3 linked regions of the Tribolium castaneum genome follow. The protein of the gene in region 3 interacts with the protein of the main gene of each other region in a biochemical or structural test. Links are inferred from orthologs where the notes say so. Each region holds a gene or a part of one and is shown on either strand. Other genes may lie near its edges. The genes, in order: casein kinase I, sgg and armadillo segment polarity protein.

Region 1 (5,565 bases), about 6.0 Mb from region 3:
ATGCCGCGCAAAAATACGAACAGTCAAGGCCGAAATTTTAAAAATACCACGCGCACACAAAAAATCTCTAATTACATGAAACGACATAAAATTGCAACAGCGGTATTAAGCGACCTTTAGAATTTTCGGTGGCGTGAAATCTAACTGTAGTAAGACGCAACCAGAGACTTACAAGGTTTCGAGTCCTTGCAAGTTGAACAATGAACGGTCTCGGAGGAGATAAAATGACAACGCTGCAAGTCTCAGCTCGCATTTTATTTTGTCGTTGACCTTAAGAATTTTCGACGATTTTCTAAAATCCACGTCACTCTTGTTTTTATTTACAAATTGCCACGATAAGATAACGCGCTAAATAAGTGCGCATCGGGTCTTAATTTAAAGATATTTCGCCGAATAAGTGAGTTAATGTGGTCAACCACCGGAAGTCACTGCGATAAGGTCGACGGTGATTTTAAATATCAATCGTCATGAAATCTAGCAAAATTCCGCGTTGACTTGCAAAGGCGTGACTCATAAATAATTTACAACAAAAGCAGATTGTAGGAAAAAATTCGTAATTTTATGTAACGGTCGTTCGACTCTCCATTCTCATTGAACAATCGATAAATTACGTCCGAAATCCTTTACTTTCGAGAATGTGACGAAACATCAACACGATTTGAAGCCGCTGGTGTCTTAGGGGAAAGTTTATGACCGGGTGATGGGTGAATCAGGCGAAAATTTCAAACATATTGCCTCAAAAACATGACCAGACACTGATCTAATATAAAAAATGAGCTGAAAGCGACGGTGTATTCATTTAAACTAAAATAGAAATCGCTCCTGCTGCTAATAGATTAATAGTAATATGTAATAAAAAGCTAGAACTGTAACATAAAACTGCAGTTTCACTGGTGACTAATTAAATAAAATAACTAAAAATTCCGCAAACGGGGCTATAATTCTACTTTTCATAACATGAATATCGACTTAAATAAAATAACTATGTAAAACACCACCCACAAAGCATTCCAAATAAAAAAAAAAACGTAAAACAGCAACCAGTGTAAAAAATCGAATATTTAAAAGTCCGTAACAAACAATACAGGGACTGGCAACGCTTATTACGCTCAAGCAACAGATCGTGACTTTTATTAGTTACTTAGAACTGTCGAAATTTTATTTATCCAAGAAAACCGCCACTTCGAATGAAACAAAATTCTGGAAATTGTATACACCTGACTGTATACTGATAAGAAATTTATACTTAGTTGGTTAAATAATAATCGGTCTTACTTATTTAAACGCAAACCACACGCGTAATTTATTAGATGGTATAATTTGCCACCAAAGGAATTACTTACCAATTGCCGATCTTTTTGAAGCCCCTTATAATATCGTCGATTTGTATAAAAATAAGAATTTGACTTTCGGGTCTAAAATTCTATTGTTTATTTTTGTCTTTGTATATGAAAGATTATCAAAAAAATATGGGAGATACCTTCCCAATGTATAAAATGTCAAGAATTTTTATTTATGTAAAAATTTCGATTTTTTAGATATTTTTTTCATTCCTTAAAATTAATATTGATAGATTAGTATTAAGTTGCTGAAAAAATATATTATTTCTCATTTTAGAACAAGCAAGCGTTGGTGCAAGCGACAATATGTAGAATATGTCAAATCAGAATTCGATTTTTTGGCAAAAAAACAAGATATACCTTTGGCTTTATTTATAAGCGAAAAATGACATGTAGCTTACCAATGTTAAGTGCGTATACTTCAAGAACTTCATTTAATTAAAAGCTAGCCAATGTATTTTTCCATTTCTTTCTTTCAAACCCAACTTACCCACAAAACAATTAACCAACAGGAAATAATACCACTTACAATCACAGAAAAATCACCTCATGTGACTGCGACCTGTTAGCTGTACCTTTCATTAATAAAATTTGAATCAGACAAGTATTTACATCAATTTCCACCTAGCGATAAAAATTATCACATAGATCATGGTTTAGCAAAGATAAGCATTAAATTGGTATTCTCAATTTAAAAAAAATACCCATGCAACGTGAGTATTTACATAAAACTGAAATTGAAACTTAATCAAAACTTTTGATTATGTATTTCAACTCTGGTTTGTGAAATTAAAAACGTTTCATAATAAAGCAATTAATGTTGAAACGTTGTATTGCATTGAAGTATTGTAGACATAAAATTAAGTAAACACGTGCAAGCACTGTTTCCGTTTATGAGTGTTTCATTGAATAAAAAATAGAATTTGTTGTTTTGGTTCGACATAAAAATGGGCACAAATAATGCATTTATGTAAATACGGATCGCCGAAACCTTCCGTTCATTATGTAAACAAAATACGGCGCAATTATCTGCAGATGACTTTCGTCTGATTCACCCTGTATAGTCCCATCGGATGCTCACCTGATATGTGGGATTCCTATGCCACCATGTAGAATTTTGTACAATTTACTTTCGTAGAGGAGTTGGGGGTGTCTTGCTCTAATTGATTCGAGTTTTACAGCGACTTCCTATCGGAAAAAACGAATTAATGGGAATCGTCGAAATGGGGGCGCAAATGCGCCCAAAAATGGTAAAAATGAGCGTAAAAATTGTGAAATGTGTCGTAAGAGAGGCCCATATCCTGGTGCGCTAACCTACTTTTGGCCGTCCGCGAAACAAAGAGAGACTCTTTGTGTGGCGGCGTTTGGGGCCATTCCTGGCCGAAACGCCAGGATTGTGGGCGATTTCGAGGGCGAAAAGGGTCCGACCAGACGGGGCCTTAATGGCTGCCATTGTGATTTGTGGTCGGACTGGTTTCGTGTTTTTTCGAAACAAAGCCACGACTTAAAGGTTAAGACGTGTCGTAGGCCCGTCTGGAGGCGCATTTGGACGGTTTACGGCCGCTTTACCTCTCCGTTTGTGATGTTGATGCCCAAGTAGATGTCCCCGAAGGAGCCACTGCCGATTTTCCGAATTAACCGATACTTGCCACCAACTATAAACTCCGATTTGCCGATGCAATGCGACGCCATCGTGCTAATTTCAATCGAGTCTTTTCGCGTGTCGTCTCACAAATTTGGATGCCCCTTTTATTTTATTTTTCCACACAATAACTATCACTTGCTCCACCAACACGCCGACATATTGCTCTGACTGATCGCTTGTGCGTGACGTCACGACGAGTTGCACCCTCTTGTGGACGTCGCACGAACGAACCTAAACACTGAAAAATTTTACAAATCGGTGGGATTTTCAAGGGGGCGATTTTGGAACGTCACGCACTTTTACGATGACAGAAAATTCGACGAAAATTGACGGGAACGACGACTTACAAAGGGGCGACAACAATTTACAGGGAACCGTTACCACGTTACCGACGGCGTTCTGGGACGACGCACAGCGACCTCCAAAATGTCGCCGCAGCGGCAACCAAACAACCGAACTGGCAGGAAAATCAAAAATCAATCAGCACTTCCACAATTTCATATTTTAATTTATTACAACAAAGCAATTTAACCAAAACATAAATGTGTACCGAGAGATTTGCACCTAATCCAATTAAGGGGGCACAAGTCGCCTTCGAATTTGAAAATTTCGAAAAAACTTTAATTAACAAACATTGCATATTTATTTTTTTAAAGTAGATTTAATTATGCCTGGTGGCATTATCAATCCATGCGTAAAAAGAATCGACTCGAGTATACCCAGTTGGGTCCAAGCTTTCGCACCCATTCTGGCTTATAAAACTAGCTATAGCCACATGGACATAAAGTTCTATTCCCACATCAGCGGAAGTTATGAGTGGTCCTCCAATATCGCCCTAAAATTAGTTCCTTCAATGAAAATTTAACACGTAATTCGACTAACAAAACAGATTCCTTCGTTGTAATTTCCTTCAGCACAAATCATCGTGTCCACGAGTTGATTTCCGAAGTACGTTTTGCAAGCGTTTTGCTCAATTATTCCGATTTCAACAAAATTCAAACTGTTTGCCAACCCACTGTCCTCTATAACGAAAAAAAAATTAACAGGACGATAAAAAATGGTAATTAGTAATTACCATCACTGGTTTGTCCCCAGCCTGCAGCCTTAACAACTCGCCCCGGATACAAGTACCCAAAATTCGCAACAATTATGGGCTCGATATAATCTAATAAAAAACTCAACTTTACTGATTTTTTTTAATATTAATTACCAGTGAATGTGATAGGCATCCGTAATTTAATTAAGGCAATATCGTTAGCAAGCGATATTGTCGGATCGAAACCTTCATGAATAACGTAAGTGGAGGTCGTTACAATGACTCGGTTTTCGTCATTTGATGACAGTTGATTCGATCCCATTTGAATCGTGAATTGCGTAGCCCTAAAAAAATCCGAAAATTTATGGAAAAAATAAGAGACATTAATACTCGTAGACACATTGCGCTGCGGTTAAGACCCAACGAGCGTTAATCAAAGCCCCCGAACAAAAATATCTGCCGTCTGGAGTGTCTTTGTAAATAGCGACTTGCCAGGGGAACTGGCCACTTGCAGCAGCATTTCCTCCGATTATTCGCGGTCTGGAATTGAAATTTTCGCTGTCGTTGACTCGTCGCAGATTAATTACGGATTTTTTAGCCGAAATCACAAAAATGAACGAGAAAAGGAGCAGTAACGGCTTCATTTTTGCACTGACTAAATTTTGGCCGCGGTTTTATCGGCAACATTACGGCGATAAGTATTTGGTTAATCTAGGAATTAACAGGATTTGTAGCATGTAATCGTTTAATCGCCAATAATTTTTATTTAAGAAAAACTTGAACGCTCTGTGTAATGTAATACTATTACCGTATCGCAAAAACTATCAGTCACGCAGAAAACAGCGTTTGCTAATAATTTTTTTTTCAGTGCGTGTTAGTTTTATCAAACTTTTTCTACAAATAGATTTATAGTTAAAATCAAATAATTCATAGAGAGTCGCTATTTTTTTATCGTTGTTCAATTTTAAACTGACAAGTAATTTGCGTTAGGCAAGCGTCAATTTTTTATGGAATAAAATTCATATTTGTTTTAAACAATTTATTAATCACAATTTCTACATCGTTTCGGTTACATTCTGAATCCAGGCTTTGTACAGATCGGTCCTGATATATCCCGAAGGGTGCAACTGTTCGCAGCCACTCTGACTGAAAAATCCAGCAACGGCAATTTGTACATAATTGTCAGCCCCTTTGGCTCGGATCAGCGGACCACCAGTGTCTCCCTATTATCTGTTAATATTTTATCAAACTCCGGTTATCTTACTTACAGTGCAAATGCCCTCATTGAAGTTACCAGCAGTACAAATCATCGTGTTTTTGATTTGGTCACCGTAGGTCTGTTTACACTCATTGTTTGATATAACTACCACGTTTGTGTATTGGAGATTGTTAGACAAACCGGCAGTTGCTAACAATTATTGATAACTTATTCTGTTAATAATTGGCAAATAAATTAAATTACCGTCAGCGGTTTGGCCCCATCCTGAGATTATGGCGGCACTGCCCTCGGAAATGGCCCCAATGTCGGCCAGTTCGATTGGTTG
Region 2 (5,478 bases), on a different chromosome or scaffold from region 3:
TGCGAAATCGTAATGGAATATTTTTTGGAAAGTTAAAAATGATTACGATAAGGAACGGGTCCATAAACTTGTTTCGTTGATGAGATAAGCACATTGTAGTATTTTTTCTTAATAACTGCGATTTCTCACAAGTCAATCTTTTTGTTGTCGAGAAATTTATTTACATAGGGACACAATAACGTTAAAACGCACACGCGAAACAGTTGTCGTTTTTCGTCGTTAAATGGCGAAGAAAGTCAGATTCTAATCATTGTCCTCGATTATGTTCCGTAACACTTTCTTCCAATGTTTTGTTTCCGTCCACTTTCGACGCCGCATCATTGTGAAAATTAACGCAGTATTGAAAACGCCACTTGTTTGATTGAATCGAGATAATTCAATTAGCGCCGATTCTGTCGATTTTTCACCGTGAAAATTTTCCTACTTACTTCCCGAGCTCGACAGCGACCTCTTCAACTTCCTCCAGCAATACAACAACCTGGAGTAGCCCGTCGTTTTTTGGCTTTTCCCCAGTCCATCGATCGCCGGCACCGACCCCAAAGTCGCACTTTTCTTGGTCGACTTGTGCTTGTCCGAAGATAAATCGCACACAGAAACTGACCTGCCGTACTTAGGTCTCGCGTTTTTGTTCTTTTCGGGCAAAACACTTTGCAATTTCTTACACTCGCACTGTTTTTTAACCACATAATTCGCATCACTTGCGACTTTAGAGTCGCTATTTTTGCCCGGCTCGTCGATTTTGGGCGCCATGGATTCGATCAGCCCGTACTACTGAGAAAAATGGGTTGGTCAAGGTAATCCTTGTGATTTTAATGCGCATCTAAGACGCCCATCCGGTTTTTGTAAGGTTAGAAAATTCACAACAATAATCCACATACTTTTTTGTAAGAAGCACTACATGACTGTGACACGTCATGCGAAACAATACACAAAACAATATGGATTTGTGGCGGTTTGGTGCGTGATACGAACTGATCTAAAGCCAACAGAAAAATACCGGATTAGTTCGATACCTGCGGTATTTTAATTAGCACTGATTGGTATTTTTGCACTGTTTGGTAAATATTTAGACGGCAATTTACGGCCGACTGAAAACTGAAAAAACAAATACCAAGGATTACTTTACCACCTAAGAACAGACAAACAAAGAAAAGTGTTTTTGACTGGAACAATAAATTGGGACTTGTTTAATTCCACACAAAATTAGAAGAGTGAGAATTTGATAAAATTACAAAAATAACTCAATCCATTTTCCTTGTTATGAATTCATTTTTGACGAAGTAAACAGCGGAATTTTGGCCACCTCATGTCATTCCACAAACATGAGTGTCTGTAATACATAGAGAGTGTTTATAAACTGTGGGTCCTAAGTTGGTAATACAAAATTATCGAATTTGTAGCTACGGTGACTCCAGTATTCCATTTTTACACTAAATAATCATAGATTTCCCTGGATTTGAAATTGAAAAACGACCATGAAAACGAAAATAGATCGAAAAATTAAGTTACGTCAAAAATTATCATATTTTGAGCTAATATCTCTTATAATGCGAAATTTCCTTCTAATACAACGAAAAATTTCGATGGAAGGTCGATTTTTGAACTTAAATTTTTTCCTAAAAAACTGTCTTAAAAATTAAACGAATATTTTTTTTGAAAATCTCTTTAAAAAAAATTAAAAACCCATCGCTAAACAATTAAAAATAATAGTTTTTGTTTTTTTTTCAATGCTTAGGTTACTTTTACGCAAAATATCGCGTAAATAGACGAAAAAATTGACGTTATCGAACTAGTTCGTACGTTTAACAATCAGAAAATCTTTTTTATAATATTATCGTTTTTTTTTAGATTCATCTTGTTTTTGCGTAAGGAATTTCGTCAAAAACTACCAAATTAGAATTTGCTTTTGAATTTCTAAACTCAGGTTTTCTGAAATTTTATTAAAACGAACCAAAAAACGTCTAATGACAGAGTTATTGTAGTAACATTTTATTTGTACACCATTAAATTTTTATTATGATTACCCCAAACCCTTCAAGCTAATCACTCAGGCAAGCTTATTGTGTGATTTATTGCAGACTGTCTGTAGTTTTTCAGACAAACCGATCGGTAACGTAAATATTTTCGGGTCACCCTTGTCAAAATATCTTATTGTGAAAAGTGCTTATCTTAAACACCATTGTCTGCTGTAAAACTTTATGGTGTACAAAAAAAACGTGGCAACAATACACATAAGTCTAAAGCGAATTTAGAACGAAATTAAAATTAAAGATAATAAGAAAAAAAAAGAAAGATGTTTTTTTCTAGATATTAAAGTTCAAAGATATATATTTTTTAATGTAATTGTCTTAAAATTTTCTCACAAATTTTTCAACAAGTGATTAACAACATTTTTATAATAATTTACTGTAATAAGAATAACGTGAAAATAGATAAGAATACAAAGACCAGATGACTTTTTGACCTCAAAAAATTTGTTCGAAAAAATGGCCTGTGAAAACGTTAGGAGAAATTGTTCTAAGCTATTAGAGTTGTCAAAAACTAACAATCACATATGCCGTTATGTACACTGACCATAATAAATTTGCTATAGCTTTCCGTAAAATAAATAAACCAATTTAGTTAATATCGGTTTCTTTCTTGACAATAGATAAATTAAATATTTTATCAGAGAAAATAAAAATATTTCCAGTTACTCACTGGAGTGATTGTGTCTGTGCAACCCAAAATCACTGCTATTTCAGAAAAAATCGAAGATAAGACCAGGTCGAACACGTATTTCACATTTAAAAATAACTTTCAATAGCAGTTATTGCAACAATCACACAATAAGCATTTTATTGTGATATCGATAGTGTGAAAATAAAACGTATTGAGTGTTTTAAAAATTAAACGGTTATTTTCATCTCACATCGTAGGCACCTCACGTCGTTTGACTCATTGTTTTTGCCAGTAAACAAATACTTTTAACTCGATTTTAATAACGTATCCACGCAGTAAATGGGCCACGGTCTACACTTGTTTATATTAGTCCAGGGACGTTGGAGCAATTTTTAATAATTAAATTTAATTGGTTTGATTCAAGTAAATAATCTAATCTCGGTACGCAAATGTTATTGACACTTGAATTCTAAAAATTAGAAATTTCTCTGGGAATTCTTCCATTCCATGCAAATAATCGCGTACTTAACACCATGTCGGAAGTATTACGTTTATTCAAATGAAGTTTAATCCATCAAAAAGTTCGCTTAATCGAAGGCAATGCCTTGACTCTTCCAACTTCGTGTGCAATTCCCGTGGAAATAGTTCGCAAATTGGGTCAGTGAAATAACACAGGTGTTAACCACTCAACCACTCCAAATCAAATACGCACACTAAGCACAACAGGGTGTTTAATGAATCTCGTTAGCGGCGAATCGAACCGCAGACCGCCGTCTTATTGTTATTAAAACGCCAAATCCGAGTTTCATTGCAATATAAACGCAACTGCCTGCACTCACGATTCGGATAAGACTGATCTTGAGACTTGAGAGCAATGCTAGGAGTAGAATGTCACGGCGAGGAGGAAGATATTTACTTTCCAATAATAATTCTCAACTCGGCAAATATTTACAGTAGGAGGACGAATTAAAAACGTATCACACATGATCCCGTGATCGAAACTAGCGAAAAACCCACCAACAGATCCGATTAGATAAAAAATAGATAAACCGGATTATTATCTACATCTCTCCAACGTTTTGGGGAACATAAAATATGGAAAAAAAATCGTCACGTTGACATGTCGGGCACGTGTACCACCGACACGTGCTCGCTTTTCGTCGTTTCCCCTTGCAATCAAAATCTAAATATAACGAGCACACTGTGTGCACAACCGAAATAGTCACCTATTAAAAGTTTTAGCATTGAAGACGAAAACCAAAATTTAACAATGACAGCGCTATAAATAAGCAAACGGGCCAAGTTCACGGCACGAAAAAATTGTTGAGGTCAAGAAGGGATAGACTTAGTGAAACTAAAATCGATCGATGCCAAAAGCGTCATATGTTTTTTGGCGAAATAGACTTTGACGTCGACGATTGTGTGACGTCTCGACTATTTTCCCATTTCGTGAAGAAAATAGTTGGGAAAGTTGGAAAGACGTCCGACTGCGATAAAAATCACAAACTGTTCCGAATTGAATTTTTCGCAACTTCTTCGCGGATTGTTAAACGCTCACACACCCATTGGCACACGTCTGAGTTATTGCCAAGAAAATGTCCAATTTCCGTTTGATGTTCGCGGTTTTATCGCCAATATTTGGGTAAAAATAGTCTTAGGAGTAATTTTGCAAACAATAACTGATCAAAGTTGACTCGTTCATTAATCTGATTAATTAAGTATTGCTTAAACAAAGGCGCAATGGAGATAAACCAAAACAGGGAACGCAGATCGGATTATGAATTAAATTGATGACTATTACATCATTAATTTTCCATTTGCTACTTCGGAAAACAATTCCGATTGTCATGGGAACAAATTCAAGTTTAGAACCGGACCATTTAATTAAAGTTAATCCAAACAATGATAATTCTCAACAAACGTCAATTATTTGAGTAAACAAAACACGGAACTGTTTCTTTATTAAACAAAACTAATTTATTTGCCGTAAAATAACACCACAAAGTACGGACACATGTGCTTAATCATTCCGTTGGATCGTTGAAAATGTCAATGTATTAGAAATTAAAATCGAATTTGATTTAAAATGCAGCGCTGCACTTGACACACTTTGATAAAATTCGAAGGTTCTTAATCGTTTCATATTTATAATTGTCCATAATTGGTTTAGAAAATGTTGTGGATTAATTATTCATCTTAAAACAGATACGTCGATGATTGATGGACCCCAGTTGTTTAGAAAAACGCTACACCTCATGCTGGTAATGGAATTCGTATTACATGCATGGATGGAAACTGTGCGAAGTGTACTGAAACAAAATATTCTCATGCATGAATTTACATTGTAACGTACGATAGGGACATGGGATGACGCACTTCCATTTTACACCGTTTTAAAACGTAGTAAAAACGAATAACATTCAATCGGAACGATTTATTATTAGAAATAAAGCAAAGTTCATTCAACATGACCTGAAAATTGAGCGAACCCTTTGCATTTTACCGGGTAATTAATTAATCGACTAGTGGTTCCAGACAACCAGGAAATTCACATACCCAGTTAACACTTCCTTGTTTTTGCCTTTCATCAAGTCAATGTTCGATCCGTGTTAAAATTTAAACGGTTGCTTTATAAATAAGAGCGAAACGGTTCCAACCCAATATGCAAAATTTAAACAGAAATTGCGACGGGATTTTCCTCGAATATAGATAATAAAATTCAATCTCGCACCAAGCAAAAACGCTTGAAAAGTTTTTAAGTGTCCATTCATTTTGGCTCATCAAGGCCTGGCTTTTTGGACAGTGAATCTGTTTGTG
Region 3 (3,600 bases):
ATAACTATAAAACTTGGCCGTTTATTTCCAAACAGCTGCCAAAGTTATTCAATTTTTTTGTTGGAACATTTTAATTTAAAACACGTTGCTTTAGAAAGCGTGTTTTAAAATAGTGTAATCTAGAATTCAAATGTTAAAAAGAAGGCGTAAAATTGTTACTAACAAAAAATGGTATATTTTAATGTTTACTTGATTTATTATCCAACTTTTTTCAAAAAAATTGTAAGAAAACATTTCACTTGGTTTTTGAAATGAGTTAAAAACACAATTTTAAAGGTGCAGTCAATAACAAATATTACTATGATAATACTTTTGGTTACAATTTTTCTAAATAAGTAACAATAAAGTATTCTCTTACGACGTTGTCACTTTTTGTTTTTTATTTCAACTTTTGTTTACAAAACGAAAGGTTTTGTGAATTTTTGTATCGCTTTTTATTTAATTTTATTTTTGTATAGCTCTTAAGGTTGAACTATACTGGACTCACGGTCCACGTGGCCGTGCGAATGCACTAATTTGAGAAATTTTTTTAAGAAAAATAATAAACAAAATTGTTTTTTTTTACAATTGGATGTTGTTCCTAGGTTAACATATTACTCATGGACCAGTTCTTATCTCGATTTAAATATTTGTAACCAAGTTATAACGGGGTAAACAGCGTAATAATCTTAATGCTTTTATGGAAAAACCTAAAGTTCAAATAGTATGAAAAAATACAGTATTACAAGTAAGTCATAAAATACCCACAAAAAAAATTATCAAAAAATATAGTACCATTTTTTATTAAAAAAATAAAATGACTAAAAATTGAGGTTTTTTCATTTTATTTTTAAATGATACTAACAATTTTTTTCAAATGGATGTATATTGTTGCTAAAGTTCTCAGAAAGTTAACATATTTTTTTCAAGCAATTTGAACTTACAAATTTTGCGTTTACGCGTTTGCTTGAACAGTTCCTCTTCGGATAGTTCAGCCGTAAGTGCCTGTCCGCAACTTTTGGCATACACGATAAATCAATTTTGTAACTTCATAGGAATAAACTAGAATATAAGAATAAACTAAAATAAACTATGCTACTGTAACCAAATAAGTAATAATTCAAAAATAAATTGTACCTACTTTGTAGAGTTAGTAAGAAAATTCAATTGCAATTTAAACAGTTAAACACTTGCTTCTTTCAATGTTAGCGTACAAAACCGTTACTCAGGTATATTGCTTATCGTTATCAACATATCTGTATTTTATTTAAACATTGAATCATACCAATACTAACCACGTATCTAATATATGGTTAAAAAGTTACTCAGGAGAACGAATACATGTAAATAAAAGATACTAAAAATACGAGATAGCAGCAAAATTACTTTCGGAAAGATCACCAAATACACAGAAAAAGTTTTCACTTTAGGAAAACGACTCCAATATTTTCATACAATCATGTTCTGTAGGCTTATTAGACTGATATCTAGTCAAAAAAAGGGTCAAATACTTGCTAAATGTTGAATATACTCTAAGAACTCTTTATTTCTATGTAAGAGAAGATCTTGTACTAACTAATAATGGAATAAATATGCTTATTAAATTGTAATAAAATATAATAGTATGGTACTTCCTTAAAGATTATTTCTCTAGAACGAGTAAAGAAAGCCCATGTATTATACACAAATTTTTTCTTAATTTTTTTATGAGAATGTATGATTTGTATGAATAATAGGCTCTTAGTCACAACTGGGGTCATAGATACCGAAACCTCCACAAGAAAAAGTGGAAAATAATCAAACAATGAATTATTGCAGAGGAAATAAACTTCTTCTAACAATCCAATTATAAACACACCATCTGGAATGGTTTTTAAAGGGAATTCTCATTGTAACCTTTGACTGTAACCGAATAAACTTACATTTGAAGGATGTTTATCAAACTGGAAACCTCTCTCAATAAGTGTTTACGAAACCTTCACACACTGATTATAATTAATTAACACCAAACAATTAAAATACAAGAATGCAACTTACTGGGTCTATTCGGGTTGGACTGTAAGTAACTCATGGCGAATTACCACACCACACCTGAAACATGGAATTCTCTGAATCTCATGACCAATCTCATTGGAATTTCGAGCAGTGACAAGGAATTGCCGGATGAGGAATCGTTACGTGCTTTCAAACCGAAACATTTAATTAAACACCAGACGCTTCGTTTGTGTAACGATCACAATTTCCAAAGATTGCAATCACAAACCGATCAGACATCGGACTAAATCAGAATCAGAATCACCCACTCACAAAGAGATCCATGTTGTCATACACAGTTCATCGACATTTTTAAAACTTGGCCAAACCACACAAAAAACTCACTCTCACACTTACAAATGAATGAAATTGATAATTTTACACCGAAATAACTTACCTTGCGCCACAAAATCACTTTTTCCCTTTAAATTACGATAATATACGATAACGAACACAACAACACCGCACCCAATCACAAATATCAGATTGGCTGGCAGACCTGTTTACAAGATGCTGAAATGTCAAAGGGAAAAATCATTGATTTTAAGGTAAAAATCTTTATTTCATGTATCAAAAAAGCAGCAAATGTACGGTCGTGTATAACATTTTTAAATACAACATTAGAGTATAAAAAAACGCTAAATTTATAATTTCTAAAGCTAAACTATGGTTATGGTGTAAAAGTACTTCAAGTAGCGCGGCGCCATCTCCCAATCAGATGCCGCACTCATTCAACGCCCACGACAGGAATCTTTAATTCATCAAATATTGTTTCCTGTTTTTATCACTTATTCGTTTGAAATTAGCATGGCGGGAGGAAGAGTGATAGCAGCGTGACCTGATAAGGTCACCGGTAAATCGGCAATGCCCCTTATCCAAGCACCTAAAAAATTAACACTGTTGCAATTTTCTTTTCACACAGTGCGACGTTGCCATTTTATCAGGCTAGACTATGAAGCTTAATAATTTATTCACTACGGAAGCGGTATTAAGCTTTGTTTGGGTAATGTGAGACGAAAACAAAGTTTACATAATGTAGTATGGATTTTGGATTAAGCCAACGCAAACTTGGCGCACTGTAAATGGGGAAAATAGAAGTTGTTTGTTTCATTGAGAATGTGGAGATTTTTAAAAACTTTGCACGCTTTTGTATGAAAGTCCCCGCATTTGCATTCATATGTGAAAAACGTGAATAATAAACTTACGACTTGGAATGAGTTTTAGAAAGTTAAGTATGGAAATGGTGTGACAAAACGCTCGACTCTGAATTATATTATCTTAAATCAGAATTACTCCCAACTTTGTTGGATTCTGTACACGACGACAAATTATTTCTTGCGCCCACACAAGTCTGTTCTTGCTATCGGGTGTTTTCCATAATTTAAGCTCTCAAGTTAATTATTTTCTGCCTTTTTAGGTATTGTAATTCATAAATTCTTTATTCCGAGTTATTCTCCAATTTCATTTAAAAATTCATGAAGTGAAATAAGAGAGAACAGACAAGCTCTTGAGGTATATTATTTCTCCCGAGTAACCAGCTTTTTATGATTTTCCCTCATAAACTGACACCCACTTTCTCATTTAGTT

Evidence for each region.
Region 1: of the proteins of armadillo segment polarity protein (region 3) and casein kinase I, one has a biochemical effect on the other in vitro, tested with the Drosophila melanogaster proteins (2 studies listed by BioGRID). The link is inferred for Tribolium castaneum from reciprocal best matches to the Drosophila melanogaster genes arm and CkIalpha.
Region 2: of the proteins of armadillo segment polarity protein (region 3) and sgg, one has a biochemical effect on the other in vitro, tested with the Drosophila melanogaster proteins (2 studies listed by BioGRID). The link is inferred for Tribolium castaneum from reciprocal best matches to the Drosophila melanogaster genes arm and sgg.

Annotation. Positions count from the first base shown.
Region 1 is NC_087395.1:22,153,181-22,158,745, reverse strand, and holds the start of casein kinase I, read right to left. Parts: upstream 3,401-5,565; 5' UTR 3,283-3,400; exon of another isoform or gene 3,224-3,282; 5' UTR 3,033-3,223; coding exon 2,910-3,032; intron 2,529-2,909; coding exon 2,422-2,528; intron 1,856-2,421; exon of another isoform or gene 1,831-1,855; intron 1-1,830. Other genes in the region: serine protease 27, read right to left, coding at 3,647-3,820, 3,868-4,007, 4,061-4,150, 4,196-4,365, 4,412-4,695, 5,080-5,244, 5,290-5,429, 5,484-5,565. UniProt on the Drosophila melanogaster protein: Casein kinases are operationally defined by their preferential utilization of acidic proteins such as caseins as substrates. Can phosphorylate a large number of proteins. Negative regulator of wg signaling.
Region 2 is NC_087402.1:5,756,765-5,762,242, reverse strand, and holds the start of sgg (glycogen synthase kinase-3 beta), read right to left. Parts: upstream 3,654-5,478; 5' UTR 3,501-3,653; exon of another isoform or gene 3,211-3,500; intron 772-3,210; 5' UTR 751-771; coding exon 429-750; intron 1-428.
Region 3 is NC_087395.1:16,174,575-16,178,174, reverse strand, and holds the start of armadillo segment polarity protein, read right to left. Parts: upstream 2,536-3,600; 5' UTR 2,411-2,535; intron 2,376-2,410; exon of another isoform or gene 2,287-2,375; intron 2,071-2,286; 5' UTR 2,051-2,070; coding exon 2,017-2,050; intron 1,965-2,016; exon of another isoform or gene 1,902-1,964; intron 1,232-1,901; exon of another isoform or gene 1,121-1,231; intron 1-1,120. Other genes in the region: uncharacterized protein LOC660622, read right to left, coding at 2,802-2,896. UniProt on the Drosophila melanogaster protein: Isoform neural may associate with CadN and participate in the transmission of developmental information. Can associate with alpha-catenin.